3 linked regions of the Struthio camelus genome follow. The protein of the gene in region 1 binds, or shares a complex with, the protein of each later gene. Links are inferred from orthologs where the notes say so. Each region holds a gene or a part of one and is shown on either strand. Other genes may lie near its edges. The genes, in order: TIMM50, TIMM17A and mitochondrial import inner membrane translocase subunit Tim23.

Region 1 (4,810 bases):
CAGGCAGCCGGGACACCGGGACGCGGTTAATGGTGACGGGATGCTGGGACGCAGGCAACAACGGCAGTGCGACACCAGGACGCAGGTAACGACGGTGGTGGGACACTGGGACGCGGTTAACAGTGACGGGACACCGGGACGTGGATAACGGTGACGGGATGCTGGGACGCAGGTAACAATGGTGGTGGGACACCGGGACGTGGATAACGGTGACGGGATGCTGGGACACAGGTAATGACGGTGGTGGGACACTGGGACGCAGTTAACAGTGACGGGACACCGGGACGTGGATAACGGTGACGGGATGCTGGGACGCAGGTAATGACGGTGGTGGGACGCCGGGACGCGGCTGACGGCAGCAGTGGGACACCGAGACAGGGATAACGGCAGCGGGGGACACCGAGACGCGGTCGGCGACGGCGGTGGGACACCGAGACAGGGATAACGGCAGCAGGGGACACCGAGACGCAGTCGGCGGTGGGACACCGAGACAGGGATAATGGCAGCGGGGAGACACCAAGACTCGGTCGGCGGTGGGACACCGAGACAGGGATAATGGCAGCGGGGGACACCGAGACGCGGTCAGCGGTGGCGGTGGGACACCGAGACAGGGATAATGGCAGCGGGGAGACACCGAGACGCGGTTGGCGGTGGGACACCGAGACAGGGATAACGGCAGCGGGGGGACACCGAGACGCAGTCGACGGCGGGACGCCGGCGACCCCGTCCCTACCTGCTCCAGCTGCGACTGACGCCGCTTGAAGGCCGCCAGCGGGTCGTCCTCCAGGGAGTAATTCTCCAGCACGGTGCGGACGTCCTCGACGCCGCTGAGGGCGATGGCTGCGGGGACGCGCGGGCGTCAGGCGGGCGAGAGCGGGTGGCCCCCGGGCTCCGGACGGGGGGGTCCCGCGCGCGGCCCCCCGACCCCGCCGTCTTACTCTTGAGGAAGGCGGCGAGGTCGTAGAGGGTGCGGTCCTCGGAGTTGCCGTCCCAGCGGGCCAGCGCCAGCCCGTTGTAGGGCTGCAGGCAGAAGGCCTCCTTGCGGCAGTCCACCACCACCACCTTGGCGGGGTCTCTGTTGAGGCAGGAGATGTCCTGGCGGCGAGGAAGAAGAGGGGTGGGCGCGGGGCCGGCGCGTCGGCCCGCCGCCGCCGGCCCCGCGCGCCCGCTACCTTCACGTGGTGCCCGTCCATGTAGCGGGTGGCGTCGCGGAAGAGGCGGTAGGAGACGAAGCCGTGCGGGTCGACGCTGTCGATGAGGGGGAAGGCGGTCTGGGGGAGGCGAGGAGGGGGTCAGCGGGGCGGCCGCGTTGTGTGTCCCCCCACCCCGGGGCCGCCGCCACCGCCGTCCCCCTCACCATGCCGGTCTCCGAGGTGAAGACGACGATCTCGTAGAGCGGGGCCAGCTGCTGGAAGAGGCTCTCGATGCCCGGACGCTTCTTGAAGCGCCAACCGGTGACGAGCTGGGGACGAGGAGCGGGGTAAGGGACCGGCCGGGCGTCCCCCGGGCCGGGCCGGGCGCAGGGGGACGGCCACCGGCGGGGACTCACCGACCACTCGGGGTGCAGCAGCACGTCGGTGAGCTCGATGACGAGGGTGTAGGGCGGCTGGTAGTAGGGCTCGCGCAGCGGGTCCGGCAGCAGCTTGGGGCTGGTGGGCTCGATGATCATCTGCGGGACGCGCGGGGTGAGGGGACCGTCCCCGGCCGCGGGGACGGAGCTGCCCCGGTGGGGACAAACCCCTCGTTGCAAGGTCCCTTATGGCGGGGACAAAGACAACCCGTCGCGGGGACAAAGACCCCCGTCGCGGGGACAAAGACCCCCGTCGCGGGGACGAACCCCGCCGGGGCGTGGGTGGGGGGGACACAGACCCCTCGGCACGGGGACGAGCCCCCGCGCCGGGGACGTCCCCGTGCCCTACCTGCCGGTAGTCCTTGAAGTACTTGTAGGTCCTGCGGATCTGCTGGATCAGCACGGGGTCTGCGAAGCGGCCGTGAGGACGGGTCCCCGAGGTGCGGGGAGGGGGGTCGTCCCCGAGACCCCCCCCCCTCTTCCCACCACCATGGTGGCGTTTAACCCCCCCTGCAAGCCTCCTCCTAATGCAAGACCCCCCCCCCACCAGCTTCCCCTCTGCGTTTGCATTGTAAATAAAAAACCAACCCTTTTGGGGCCTAAAACACCTCGTTTTTCTCCGTTTTACCCCCCCAGCGGGGGGGAATCGCACCTTCATGGCGGGGAATTTCCTTCTGCCCCCGCTTCCCTTTCCCCTCCCGCCCAGCGCGTTGCTCCCCTCCGGGAACCTCCAAAGCGGTTACCAAAAAAAGCCGCTTTGGGGGGGGGGGGGGGCAGCGCGAGCGTTAAAACGGGGCCGAAAAGGCTCCGTTTGGCCCCCCCTCCCCCCCGGCGTCGGGAACGCCGCGGGCGGCACCCGGACCCCGAATTTTCTCCCGCTCAAGCCCGGCCGCCCCGCGCTGAGCCCTCCTGGGGTTCACGCGAGCGCGAGGACTCACCGGCGTCGAACTCGTCGGGGATCTGCGGGGAGGTGGGGGGGAAGATAAAAAAAAAAAAAAAAGGGTGGGGGGGAATAAAAGGGTAGCGCCCCCCCCCCCCAACCTCTTCCCACGCCACCCCAGCGGCCTGGCGGCGTTCGGGCGCCCGCGGGGGGCTCCGGCACGGCGGCGATTTGGCGCCTTCGTTTCCGCCGCGGCTCGTTTGATGTCCCGGCGGCGGCGGGGGGCAATTGGCACCTCGGCCGGGGATGGCGCGCCGGGGGGGGGGGGGGGGTCCGCATATCAAAACCCCTCCGACACCTCCGAAACGGGACTTTTTCCGGCCGAAACGCCCCGTCCGGAAGCGCCGGGGTGGGGGGGAAAGGTGACGCTGGAGAAAGCGGTGGTGGTGGGGGGGGGGGGGAGCCGCCGGGTGCTAACGAAGAAGGGGGTAATTACCTTGGCGCCGTGCTCGTCCACCGCGTTGCTGCCTGCGGGGAGGGGAGAGCGGGGCAGTGAGCGGGACGGCGACGGGGACGGGGACGGCGCCCGCCCGGGGACTCACCGAAGACGTAGAGGACGGTGGCGCCGGCGCCGGCGCCCAGCAGCCCGGCCAGGCGCAGCAGCAGCCGCCGCGTGTTGGCCGCCGTCTCCCGCTTCCGCTCCTGCCCCTCGTCGGGGCCCGGGGTGCCCCCCGCCGCCGCCTGCCGGGGAGGGTCGGGGACGTCGCCGGAGCCCCGGGGACAGCCAGGGACCATCAAGGCTGGCCAAGGAGCTCTGGGGACACCCAAGGGGCCCCGGGGACAGCCGGGGAGCTTTGGGGACAGCCGGCGAGCCCTGGGGACGTCACCGGAGCCCCGGGGACAGCCAGGGACCATCAAGGCTGGTCAAGGAGCTCTGGGGACATCCAAGGAGCCCCGGGGACAGCCAGGGAGCTTTGGGGACAGCCGGGGACAGCCGGCGAGCCCTGGGGACGGCCGGGGACAGCCAGCGAGCCCCTGGGGACGTCGCCGGAGCCCCGGGGACAGCCAGGGACCATCAAGGCTGGCCAAGGAGCTCTGGGGACATCCAAGGAACCCCGGGGACAGCCGGGGAGCTTTGGGGACAGCCGGCGAGCCCTGGGGATGGCCAGGGACAGCCAGGGAGCCCCGGGGACGTCACCAGAGCCCCGGGGACAGCCAGGGACCATCAAGGCTGGCCAAGGAGCTCTGGGGACACCCAAGGAGCCCCGGGGACAGCCGGGGAGCTTTGGGGACAGCCGGGGACAGCCGGCGAGCCCTGGGGATGGCCGGGGACAGCCAGGGAGCCCCGGGGACAGCTTTGGGGACAGCCGGGGACAGCCGGCGAGCCCTGGGGACATCTGGGGACGCTCACGGCCATCCGGGAGCGGCCCACGAGCCCCAGCGAGGGCTGGGGACACCCCGGGAGCCGTGGGGACACCTGGGGACGTTGAAGGAGCCCCGGCAACGGCTCCATCTGCCGGCCAAGCCTCTGCTCCCTCCAGACCCTAATTTGTCCCCATATCCCCCAAACTATCCCCCCCCCAAACCCAAATCTGCCACCCCCCCCAGCCACCTGCCCCCCCTTGACCCTACCTGCCCCTCATGTCCCCCAGGCACAAGTTTTTGTCCCCCCCCCCAAACCCTACCTACCCCCTCCCCAGGCTCCTTCTTGATCCTACCTGCCCCCCAGATGCCCCAAGCGCCCCCAAGCCCCCCCTTTAGCTCCTGTCCCCCCCCAGATACCCCTCAGGCCCCCTTGACCCCCCCCAGATGCCTCCAGGGCCCCCTTGACCCTCCTCTGCTCCCCCAAGACAGCCCTCAGGCCCCCTCCTTGACCCTACCACCCCCCCAAATGCCCCTAGGCCTCCCCTCAGACTCCCTTTGACCTCCCCCCCGAGACCCCCCCCCAATAACCCCCAGGCCCCCTAAATACCTCCAGGGCCCCCCTTTACCCCACCTGCCTCCCCTCAGCCCTCTCCTAAATACCCCTCAGGCCCCCCTTGACCCCTCAGATGTCCCCAGGCCCCTCTTTACCCCATCTGCCTCCTACAGACCCCCTAAATACCCCCCAGCCCCCCTCGGACCCCCCAGCCCCCCTAAATGCCCCTAGGCCCCCTCTTGACCCCCTCTGCCCCCCCACGACCCCTCCAGCCCCCTCAAATACCTCCTAGGCCCCCTCTTGACCCCCCCAGACCCCCAAACGCCCCATGGCCTCTCTTTCCCTCCTCTTGACCCCCCAAATACCCCCCAGACCCCCTCCTGACCCCGCCCAACCCCCAAACGCCACATGGCCCCTCTTTCCCCCCTCCTCACCCCCTCAG
Region 2 (4,810 bases), on another chromosome or scaffold:
TTTTCCACTCTTCCTTTCTACTTGTTCCTTCTCTGCTTTCTAGTCTTCTCCTCTCCCCCTCCCTTCTCCAAAGCAGAAGTCACAATACCACCTTCTGGTAATCTCCATTACTGCATCACCATGCTCTTTCACCCGCTGCTCCCATCCTGCCTTAAATAAGGACAAACATGCAATTGCTTCTTTCAGATCACGAAGAAACCTTTACATTTACAAGGACTCTTTAAAAGCCTCCAGACCCAGCAAATTAAAGCAGGAGGAGCATTTCCGTTCCTTTTCATTGCTTCAGCCCATGATTTATTTGGGCAATTAAGTGCCTTGTTGGTGCTCAGACGCTGCAGCACACCACAATCTCCATTGCGTGTTGTGACTGAACAATTTCTTGTCCCGACAAAAGAGCAGCGGGCAAGGTTAAATTAGGACTGTGAAAAGAACGAGTGATTTACAACTTAGAGCGCTTGCAAGCATTTGTGGGGGGAAAGGCTTTGGGGGACTTCACAGGCTGCCAGCACGGAGACTTCTTTTGGCTCCCTGGAGAAACTGCCCTCTCCAAGTCGCTGTCTCTTGATGGAGCTGTTAGGGCCAAATTCCCTGCTTGCCCACACTGCCCAGTCACAGGACCATCCCCAGGGACGCCTTGAGGTCACCCCGGGTGATTCCCCAGCTCCAAGAGCGCTGCAGGAGACACCTGACCATCTCCGAGCGTCTCGGCAGCTCTTGCGCGGAGAGGACGCGTCGCCCTGCGCCGCGGGGCCTGCCCCTGGCCGCACGCGCGCGCCCCCTCCGCGCAGCGGGGCACCGTGGGAGGTGGGCCGGGATGCCAACAGGCAGCCAAAAAGCTCTCTGCGCACGTTCACGCTGTCGTTTCCAGGGTGTCCTCGGCGGTTCCCGGTGGGACGCGCTCCCGGACTGCTCGGCTGCCTGTCCGCGGCCTGGCCTGAACCCACAGAACGCAGCAAAGCGCTTGGTAACGCTTTTAAATGCAGACACATCCCGGCCCGGGCACTGTTATTTATTAGAGGATGTTAAGGGCTAAGTAACAGCAGTTTTGTGATCCCTGCCTCGGGCAGGGTAACTCGACCTGGCCCTCGCCCCGGCAGCGCTTTTACCTGCCTTTTTTTTTTTTTAATGTGCCTGAGTTTTTTATTTTTTTTGCCCGCGCAGGGCACGCCAGCGAGGGCAGCGCCCACAGAAACGCTCTCTCCCCTCCCCGAGGGGCGGACAGCCCCTGCGGCGCCCTCAGCCGGGGGGCAGCGTCGAGACCACGGCGGCGGGGCCGACGGCCTCCCCCGAGTCCGGCGGCGGCGGCGGCCGCACGGGAGCGCCCTGAGGCGCGACGGGCAGTGGCCGGGGGGGGGGGGGAAGACGGAGTGCGCACGCGCAGTCACCGCCCCGCGCTGCGCGTCCTTCCCGCCGAGCTCCCGCCCTCCGCCCCCATTGGCCGGCGTCGGGGGGCGGCCAGCCAATGGCGCGGCGGGAGGGCGGTGGAGCGTGCCAAGATGGAGGAGTACGCGCGCGAGCCGTGGTGAGCGGCGGCCGGAGAGGGGGGTGGGATGAGGAGGGGGGAGAGCGTGCGGCGACCGTTGGTTTTGGCGGGCTCCGGGGGCGCGCGCGGCGCGGGGTGGGGGGAGGGGCGGCCGCTGCCTGCGCCCTCCTGTGCGCGGCGGCGGCGGCGGGTGACCTTGGCGGTGCCGCGGCCATGGCGGCCGCCGCCGCGGGACCCGCCTTCCCCCGCCTCAGGCTCGGCGGGGGCGGGGGCCGCTGCCGGTTCGCGGCCCCGGGCTGGCGGGGGGAAGCTGTCGTAGGGCCCCGCCGGCCGGTGCCCGGGCCTGGCAGGAAGGAGCCGAGCAGGGCCTGCCTGCGGCTGGGCTGCCAGCCCGGCCCTGGGGCCCTGCCGCTGTACCGGCGTGGGGCCGTCGGGCCCGCTGCCTCATTCGTTTCTAAACATACATGTGAATATACATACACACACGCTCCACGTGTAGCAGGGTCCTTTTCACGGAGCCCTTTGAAGGGCCCCCTCAGGGGCAGGGAGGTGCTCTGCGCTGCTGCAACCCTCGCTTTTCTGTTAAGCACGAATATATGGACGTGAACCCGGGCAAAAATTTGTCCGCGTGGCTCCACAGGTGTCTTTGCTAGTGAATTTGGCAGCCTTTAAAACCGATCGCCTTTCAGCAGGCTCTTTGTAAGCATTCGCAGCTGTGTTTATAACCATTTAAAGGTTTTTAGGTGTGGTAATAAAACGTTTAAAGGCAGGCTTGGGTTCAGGAGTAAGTATGTGGAGGTCTGCCCTTCTCCACCAATACTTGTTCGAGACTTTTCTCAAAGCTTTGGAAAATGCTCTATTGCCCTGTTTTGAGTTTCTTCATAAACCTCAACTGTGCTTTTCTCGAGTCTACAGCACCAGGTCTCGGATAGTAGTAAGTTGTTTGTTTTTTTACTATGAGCTACAGATAATCGTGTTTTCCAGTGAGATCACGTGACGGTGACCTTTTGCCGCTGAGCTGTGGAGCGGTTATCTGGGGCCACAGTTTGCGTTTTGACCTGCTTGCTGCTGCTCGCTCCCTGTCCCCCCCCACCCCCAGAGCTGCTGTTTTGGTGACGGCCCCCGCCCTGGGATGTGACCTGCTTGGATGCTGCTGCTGTCGGACTTGGCCGTAGTCGGCGTCTCGGTCACCTTCCTTGGCGTGGGTCTTTGCGCGGTCACGACGGCCTCAGGCCTGCGCGGTGTGAAGTTACGCCGTGCCCCTCAGCGAGGGTCCTGGCGCACGCCGCCTCAGAGGTGCGGAGTCGGAGCTGGCTTTTCTCACTGCTGGCACTGCTCATCGGATGCACTCTTCCCTCTACTGCCGTGGTCTGCTCTTTGCTCTCCTTTCAGGCAGGCATAGATTTTTTTTTTCCGGAAAGTTTTGCTATGCTATCGCTGCCGTTCACTCTGGCTACGTTACCGAGGTGTATGCTATCCTCGGCGTGTCCGTGTCCGTGCTGGCTGATAACGCGTGCTTGAGCTGGTGTGTAGCTGTTCCCGGGCTCAGTGGCAGAAGCGAAGCTCTGGACTTGGCGAGTGCGTTACCCCGAGCCCTCTGGGTCATGAAACCGTTCACGGGCGCTCTCGGTTGCCATCAGGAGCGCTGGGATTACTGCAGGAACCTTGCCTGCAGCTGAGAGCACGTCGTTTTTCTGTTGTGAGTGCTCTCCATAAAATCAGTGAAGCAATAGGAACGTAAAGCTTCTGTATAAGTGCCAAATAAATAGCAGAATCATCTATTTTATTCTATTGTGATAACTTACGTCAGGTATTGCTGGTGATGGTGGAGGTTTTGTATCAGTTTTCAGATACGTATAGCATCTCTCCAGGAGTTCAAAAGGAACTTAGGTATGAAGTAGTTGTGGTGGCATCAAAGAGATTTCCTTATTTGGAGGATAGTTTAAAAGCAAAATTAAGGACCCCACTGAGTTTTACATCTGAAGCAGAGTTAAGATGGAAAAAAAAAAATCTAAGAAAGCGTTTTGTGATTGGGGTCTAATTAATGACGCTTCTGTGAAGAAGTCACATTTTGCTAAATTGAAATTCTTTGACCTTGTGGATAAATGGAAGATGGCTTGGCGTAATCTGTTTATATTTTCAGAAAGCCTTTTAACAAGATCGTCCATAATACAGGAAGGGAGTTGCGATGAGATGTTTTATTCGTAATAGAGTGCATCAAAATCTGGATAGGAAACGTGGAGAAGAACAGACACCCCCCCCCGCCACGAAGAGAACAACACAGCAGCTATTCTTCCTGGCATTGCTGACAAAAACGTGCCTGAAAAGTTCATTAACTTTAATGTGTATAACATAGGAGACTTTTTGGAAAGACAATAAAACATGAAATGGAGCTTTTTTTTTTTTTAATTCAGTCAAAACCAGGGGGAATTTGTAAGGAAATGGAGATGAAAGCATATTACAAGTAGAGCAGTAAAAATACCCTACCTGTAAAAAACGTACCCTACCTGTAAAAAAATGCCATGGTGGGAAAATTTTAAATCTTTTCACTGTTGACTGGTTTCTAAATCAGATATGAGCTTGGGAGGAGGATGTAGCTGTCTTTGTGGAAGATCAGTGATGACATTTGGGTGGGGTGCTGCTGCATTCGGAACAGCAAAGTCAAGTCAGGATGCGGAAAGTAAAGCAATGAAATAATGTCACGTGTCCAAACAAGCGATTTATCTTTATTTAGAAGGTGTGCAGAACTGGTTAGGCCATCCCATTAAAGTGCTTGTAGTGTTAGAGAGATTCAGAAATAGGTCGTGAAAATAAGTAAAGAGCCTGGGAGAATGTTTAGGTGGAGAGACTGACAATTTTGGAAGTTTTGGCAGGAAGAAAAAAAGAACCATGACAAAATCATGCAGTATAACAAGTGGTCCGGGGAAAGGAGATGATGTTGTCCCCCCTTCCAGGGGAAGAGCATTAACATATTCTGTGAAGTAGAAAAGTGGCGGATTCTGAACTGGTGAATGAGGATGTGATCTCACCTGCAGGAGTGTATAATGACAGTGGAGCTGGAGGCTGTAAGAAACAGAAGCGTTAAATTCAAAGTGAGATTGGAAAAAGACATCAGTATTCACGTCTGTGGTTGTTCTGATTGCAAGAGAACAACGTGAACGTCGAGCTTGCCCTGCTAGTCAATTTTGTGAACACACGTGGTATTGCAGCCTGGTTTCTGGTAGGTTTGCTAGTTATTGCTAGTGCAGGAGTTGTATTCTTCTGAGTGGTTGGCCTTTTACTAGTAAATATTTTGATGCAAGATGAAAGAGCCAAAATAACTTTTGT
Region 3 (4,810 bases), on another chromosome or scaffold:
CATAACACTATGCTCAACAACGTAATTTCTGTCACAGCAAGTATTCGTCCTCACACACACTAACCGCCAAAAATACTACCTTGTGGTAGTTCACGCACCACGTGGATGATTATGCTGTTACTGGAAGTTTGCAGACAACCAGGCAGGTACACACAGCACTCTACACTCAAAGCTTTCTCCAAAACGAAGCAGCATGGACTGCTAGACACAGTAGGGCTCTGATACGCAGCCACGCACTGGCTTCCGGGAGCTAAATTAGGGTCCCATCTCAGCCCTGCCCTCGAAGCCAGGCTCGGGGGAGGCTACGCACATCAGTGCAAGCAGCCTCTTGCGACGTAACGTCGCCCTCCCTTCAATCCTTCACGGAAATAAAAGTACTGCAAAGATAATAACGACTACAGAAGAAACGGATATATATCCCAGGCAGGCAAAGGGGCCCTTCCCAGCCTCGCCACCCCGCCGCAAGCGCGGCCGCGGCTTTTTCGGGCCTAAAAGTCCAAAACAGAGGAAAGACGGGGTGCGGGGCAGGAGCCGAGGAGGCCGGCGGCGCGGCTCGCACGAAGCTCAGGGCCGCGCAGGCCCCACGCGCGGACCGGCCCCTCCTGCGGGCGCCCCACGCCCCCCCCCCCCAGATCAGTGAAAACGAGGGAGTCAAGAAGTAAACGGGTCGATCCGTTTTCACCGCCCAGCTCCCGCAGCCCGCCCGGCTGCTCAGGGCCGCTACAAACCTTTGTTCCCCACGGCGGTGGCGGGGCTGCCGCTGCCGCCGCCGCCGCCGGGCCCGGCCTGCCGGGGGGGCGCGGGCGGCGGGCACGGCGGCTGCTGCGGGCCGCCGGGGCCGGGGCCGAGCCGGGCTCTCTTGCGGGGGGGGTCCGGCCCGCAGCCCGCGCTCATCCTCGGCGGGCGCGGGCCCGCCTGCGCCCCCGCCCCCGCCCGCCTCAGCCGCGCGGCGCCGCCAACGGCCGCCGGGGCCGGACGGCGGCCGCCCCCCGCGGGCGGCGCGACGATGCGGCAGCGGCGCCTCTGCCCCTCCGCATCCTCCGGCCCGCGGCGCGGCGCGGCGCGGCTTAGTTTAGCTTAGCTCAGCGCGGGGCTCGCCCCGCCGCCCGCCCTCTCACGGGGAGGCGGCCAGGGCGCGGCGGGGCCGAGGCCGGCGAGGGGCGCAAGGAGCCGCCGCTGCCGCCACCCGCTGCAAAATGGCCGCCCGCCCGCCCGCCTCTCCCCTCTCACCATGGCAACCGCGCTCCGCCCGCCGCCGCCACCGCCGCCGCACGCGGGCGCCGGAAAGCAGCGCGGCGCGGGCGGCGCTTTACGGCGGCGCCGAGGTCGTTGGTGCGGGCGGTTGGCGGCGGGGCCCGGCGGCGCCATGGAGGGCGGCGGCAACTCCAAGGGCACGGGCCTCGGCGGCCTCTTCGGCGCCGGCGGGGGCTACTCCCACGCGGACCTGGCCGGGGTGCCGCGTGAGTACCGGCGCGGGGGGAAGATCTCGCCGCACCCGGAAACCAACATGGCGCGGGGGCCGGAGGGGAGCGGAGCGGCCGCGGAGCTGCGGGCCGCCAGTGGGCCCGGTCTCCCGCTTCGCGTACGGGGCCGGGGGGGGGGGGGGCCGCGCTCGCCTCGGCTTCCCGCGTGTGGGTTGGGGCGGCGATCACGCGTTTCTTTACAGCCAGTCCCTTAACGATGACTCCGTGTCGCCTAGCGCCGTGACGGAAACGTGGCGCGTACCCTGTGCATACCGGTCCGTAGCGCTTCTTATAAATAGGTGCTTCTCAGTACTGTTTCTCTCTTGTTGCTTACGTTACGGCAACATCCTCATTGCCTCCGCTCACTAGCTCTGCCCTTTTTACGTCGCTGGACTTGAAATTATCAGAGGAAGTGGTGTCAAAGTGTTCCTTCTTTTCTTTCAGTAACTGGAATGAATCCTTTGTCTCCATATTTAAATTTGGACCCTCGCTATCTAGTACAGGTGAGAAGAATAGTTGTTTTTTATTGTATTGAACTTAATTCCACTCTTGATATGGTATGTACAAAGACCTCCAAATTCATGCAGTGCTATATAGCTATATAGTGATTAACTCTTAAACAGTTGAAAGGGGATGAATGATTGTTATTACTGTTCTTAATAAAATCTTGCAGTGGCATAGTGTCTAGGACAAGAAAATCAGTTTCGATATAGAGGGTAAATGAGGCTGCTCTGTCAGCATAATAGTCTGCTGCTCCTGAAAAGAGGAGGTGTTGCTCACTTATGTTTTTCCTTCTGCCTCCCTGCTCTCGGGCATGTGGCTGCATCACTGCCCCTGCCCCACTTCTGGCACTTATCAGACCCTCCACTGAGCCCATTCAACACATAAAAGTAGCCAGAAACTATCTACCTTTTTGATGGAATGTTTTTCTGTACTGTCGTGAGTTGGATGGTTCACAAAGTGGCTGATACAAACCGTGTAACAGGCATGTGCTGTCTCTACAGCAGCAGCGAATTCTGTCCATTTCCCCCATCTCATTTCTCAGCTGAAGTGAGACTGTTAGGAGGTAAAGCTTTCAGTTTTGATCTGCAGAATAACATACTTATTGTACTTCACAGCATAGCATTTAGTTAACATAACGTGATGGCCCATAGAGCCCTGGAACTGGTTGCCCAGAGAGGTTGTGGAGCCTCCTTCCTTGGAGGTACTCAAAAGCTATTTGGACACAATCCTGGGCAATGTGCTCTAGGTGACCCTGCTTGAACAGGGGGGTTGGACTAGATGATCTCCAGAGATCACTGCCAACTTCAACTATTCTGTAATAGGCGGTCATAAGGAAAGTGAGATTGTTAAAGACCTTATGTTTTCTTTTTTTTTTTTTTCAGTTATATTAAGCATAGCCAAAAAGGTTTAAGTTAATTCAATAAGAAAGCATGTCTTAATGATTCATTTAATTATGTGGCTTGTTTTTATCTGTGAACATTAAATTTTGCTGGAGTAGCACTGAAGGTAATCAGTTGTATAGTTTCTGCTAATCTGTGCCTTTTGTTTCATGATGCACTGCATCACCACTTCTTCTGCAAGTAAAAGACTCTGAATGCAGCTGAGGGAACTGTTTTTTCTATTTCTTCTTCACTAGAAGCTGTTGTGGTCAAGATTACAACATAAAATTCCTCTAAAGGCAGTAAACAAAGGATATGTCCCTGTCTGAGGTGAATTCACTAGTGCACTTGTCTCACCTGCTGTTGTTTAATAGCGAGGAAAAAAGGGCTAGTGATTATATAGATAGATCTCTTCCCAAAATGCCACCTGACATTGTCTCATTTAGCTAGTACAGTGTATCCGGGAACACAGTATTACAAAAATAGTATGAGATGAGAGTTTTTGGAGCAAAGTTTATGTATACTAATAGATCTAAAAATAAAAAAACTTACTTTAAAAGAAAGGAAGTTTAGTGTTGATGTCATGAGTAACTTACAAAACAGATCTAAAAATACCTGTTGCTGTAACACTATAGGTTAACAGAACAGTACGTGTTGTAACACTTGACTGCTCTTGCCATTTATCACTAGGAAGCGCACTGAAATAAAAGGAAATTCCATTTAAAGACTTAAAAAAAAATTACTGTAAGGGTGGTCAAACACTGGACCAAGGGTCCCAGATTCTCCATCTTTGGAGATACTCAAAACCTGACTGGATGTGGCACTGAGCAATCTCTACAGGTGACCCTGCTTTGAGCAGATGATCTGCAGAGGTCCCTTCCCACCTCAATTCTGTTATTCTAAAAATTAATGGAGAAATACTTGCCTAAGATTTTAAAATACGAGAACCTCAATTTTTAGCCCTTGAACTTGCTTTGTGTCTTAAAGTATGTGTGGAGGTGGGGAGTCCCTTGTTTTTAAAAGCAGAACATCCATTTACTTCCAGAATGCTGAGTGCACACTCCTGCCTAGAAAAGTCAGCCTTACTGTTTACAGTCTTACATTTTTTGATCCTGGTTTTTGCTTTTCCATTATAATGGGTGCTACAATGGTGCTCATAAGTTTAAAGTCCTCTTTCTTTTTTCCTTCTCTTAATGCAGGCACAAACCAATATGTTTTCTGCAATGCTTTTATCTTCACCAGGTATCCATTATAAAATACCATACCAGGCTTAGCCATAAAGCTGGAGGGTAGGCTTCCTAGGTGGTTGTCCCTACAGAAGGGTAGAGATTACATGCAGGTGGCAATTGCTTAACTTGACTTTTTGCAGAGTAGTGGAAACTAGTAATAAATTGCTAAGTAATCACACTCAGTTTCACACTCCAAATATCTGGCTACAGGGAACCATATTACAGGTTCAGTTTATTGATAGGGTATTCAGAAATTTAGAAGCCCTATATATTATCTACATTGCCAACCACCTGAAATAATTGCTACTGTGGCTGATATAAGTACCAGGTATGGACTAAGAAAACAGCTTAGAATGCAGTTACTTGAGACTGTGGTTGTACTAGTGATGTACTATTACATAGTGGATAAACTATTAACATGACTGGAAAGTGCAGAAGCATAAAGAGAGACCTTACTACTTCGGCACCGTATCAGCATATGTGCATCTCAGCAGTGTCCAATACTGCAGAAGTGCTTTGGTTGACCTTATCTCTACACACGTGCTAGTTATCGCATGGTTGCTCTTGGTATTCATCTTTTTAGACAAATCTGTAATACGAGAACACAAGTCTATTCCTGTGGAAGAAGAACACACAAATAAAACCAAACTACCAACTACATATTTTTTAGTTCTGACCACCACTAGTTTTGAATGTATTCCTTAGTTTCTCATGTCTCCAGACCAGGTCATTTATT

What was found.
Region 2: TIMM50 (region 1) and TIMM17A share a complex: the UniProt entries of both Homo sapiens proteins name them as parts of the TIM23 complex. The link is inferred for Struthio camelus from reciprocal best matches to the Homo sapiens genes TIMM50 and TIMM17A.
Region 3: TIMM50 (region 1) and mitochondrial import inner membrane translocase subunit Tim23 share a complex: the UniProt entries of both Homo sapiens proteins name them as parts of the TIM23 complex. The link is inferred for Struthio camelus from reciprocal best matches to the Homo sapiens genes TIMM50 and TIMM23.

Annotation. Positions count from the first base shown.
Region 1 is NC_090957.1:1,563,132-1,567,941, forward strand, and holds the start of TIMM50 (mitochondrial import inner membrane translocase subunit TIM50), read right to left. Parts: upstream 3,166-4,810; 5' UTR 3,053-3,165; intron 2,979-3,052; 5' UTR 2,947-2,978; intron 2,531-2,946; 5' UTR 2,509-2,530; intron 1,979-2,508; 5' UTR 1,920-1,978; intron 1,670-1,919; coding exon 1,550-1,669; intron 1,463-1,549; coding exon 1,358-1,462; intron 1,272-1,357; coding exon 1,173-1,271; intron 1,096-1,172; coding exon 939-1,095; intron 841-938; coding exon 734-840; intron 1-733. UniProt on the Homo sapiens protein: Essential component of the TIM23 complex, a complex that mediates the translocation of transit peptide-containing proteins across the mitochondrial inner membrane. Has some phosphatase activity in vitro; however such activity may not be relevant in vivo.
Region 2 is NC_090965.1:3,978,808-3,983,617, reverse strand, and holds the start of TIMM17A (mitochondrial import inner membrane translocase subunit Tim17-A), read left to right. Parts: upstream 1-1,398; 5' UTR 1,399-1,496; coding exon 1,497-1,522; intron 1,523-4,523; exon of another isoform or gene 4,524-4,703; intron 4,704-4,810. UniProt on the Homo sapiens protein: Essential component of the TIM23 complex, a complex that mediates the translocation of transit peptide-containing proteins across the mitochondrial inner membrane.
Region 3 is NC_090948.1:33,171,580-33,176,389, forward strand, and holds the start of mitochondrial import inner membrane translocase subunit Tim23, read left to right. Parts: upstream 1-1,257; 5' UTR 1,258-1,366; coding exon 1,367-1,460; intron 1,461-1,907; coding exon 1,908-1,966; intron 1,967-4,810. Other genes in the region: PARG (poly(ADP-ribose) glycohydrolase), read right to left, coding at 729-894. UniProt on the Homo sapiens protein: Essential component of the TIM23 complex, a complex that mediates the translocation of transit peptide-containing proteins across the mitochondrial inner membrane.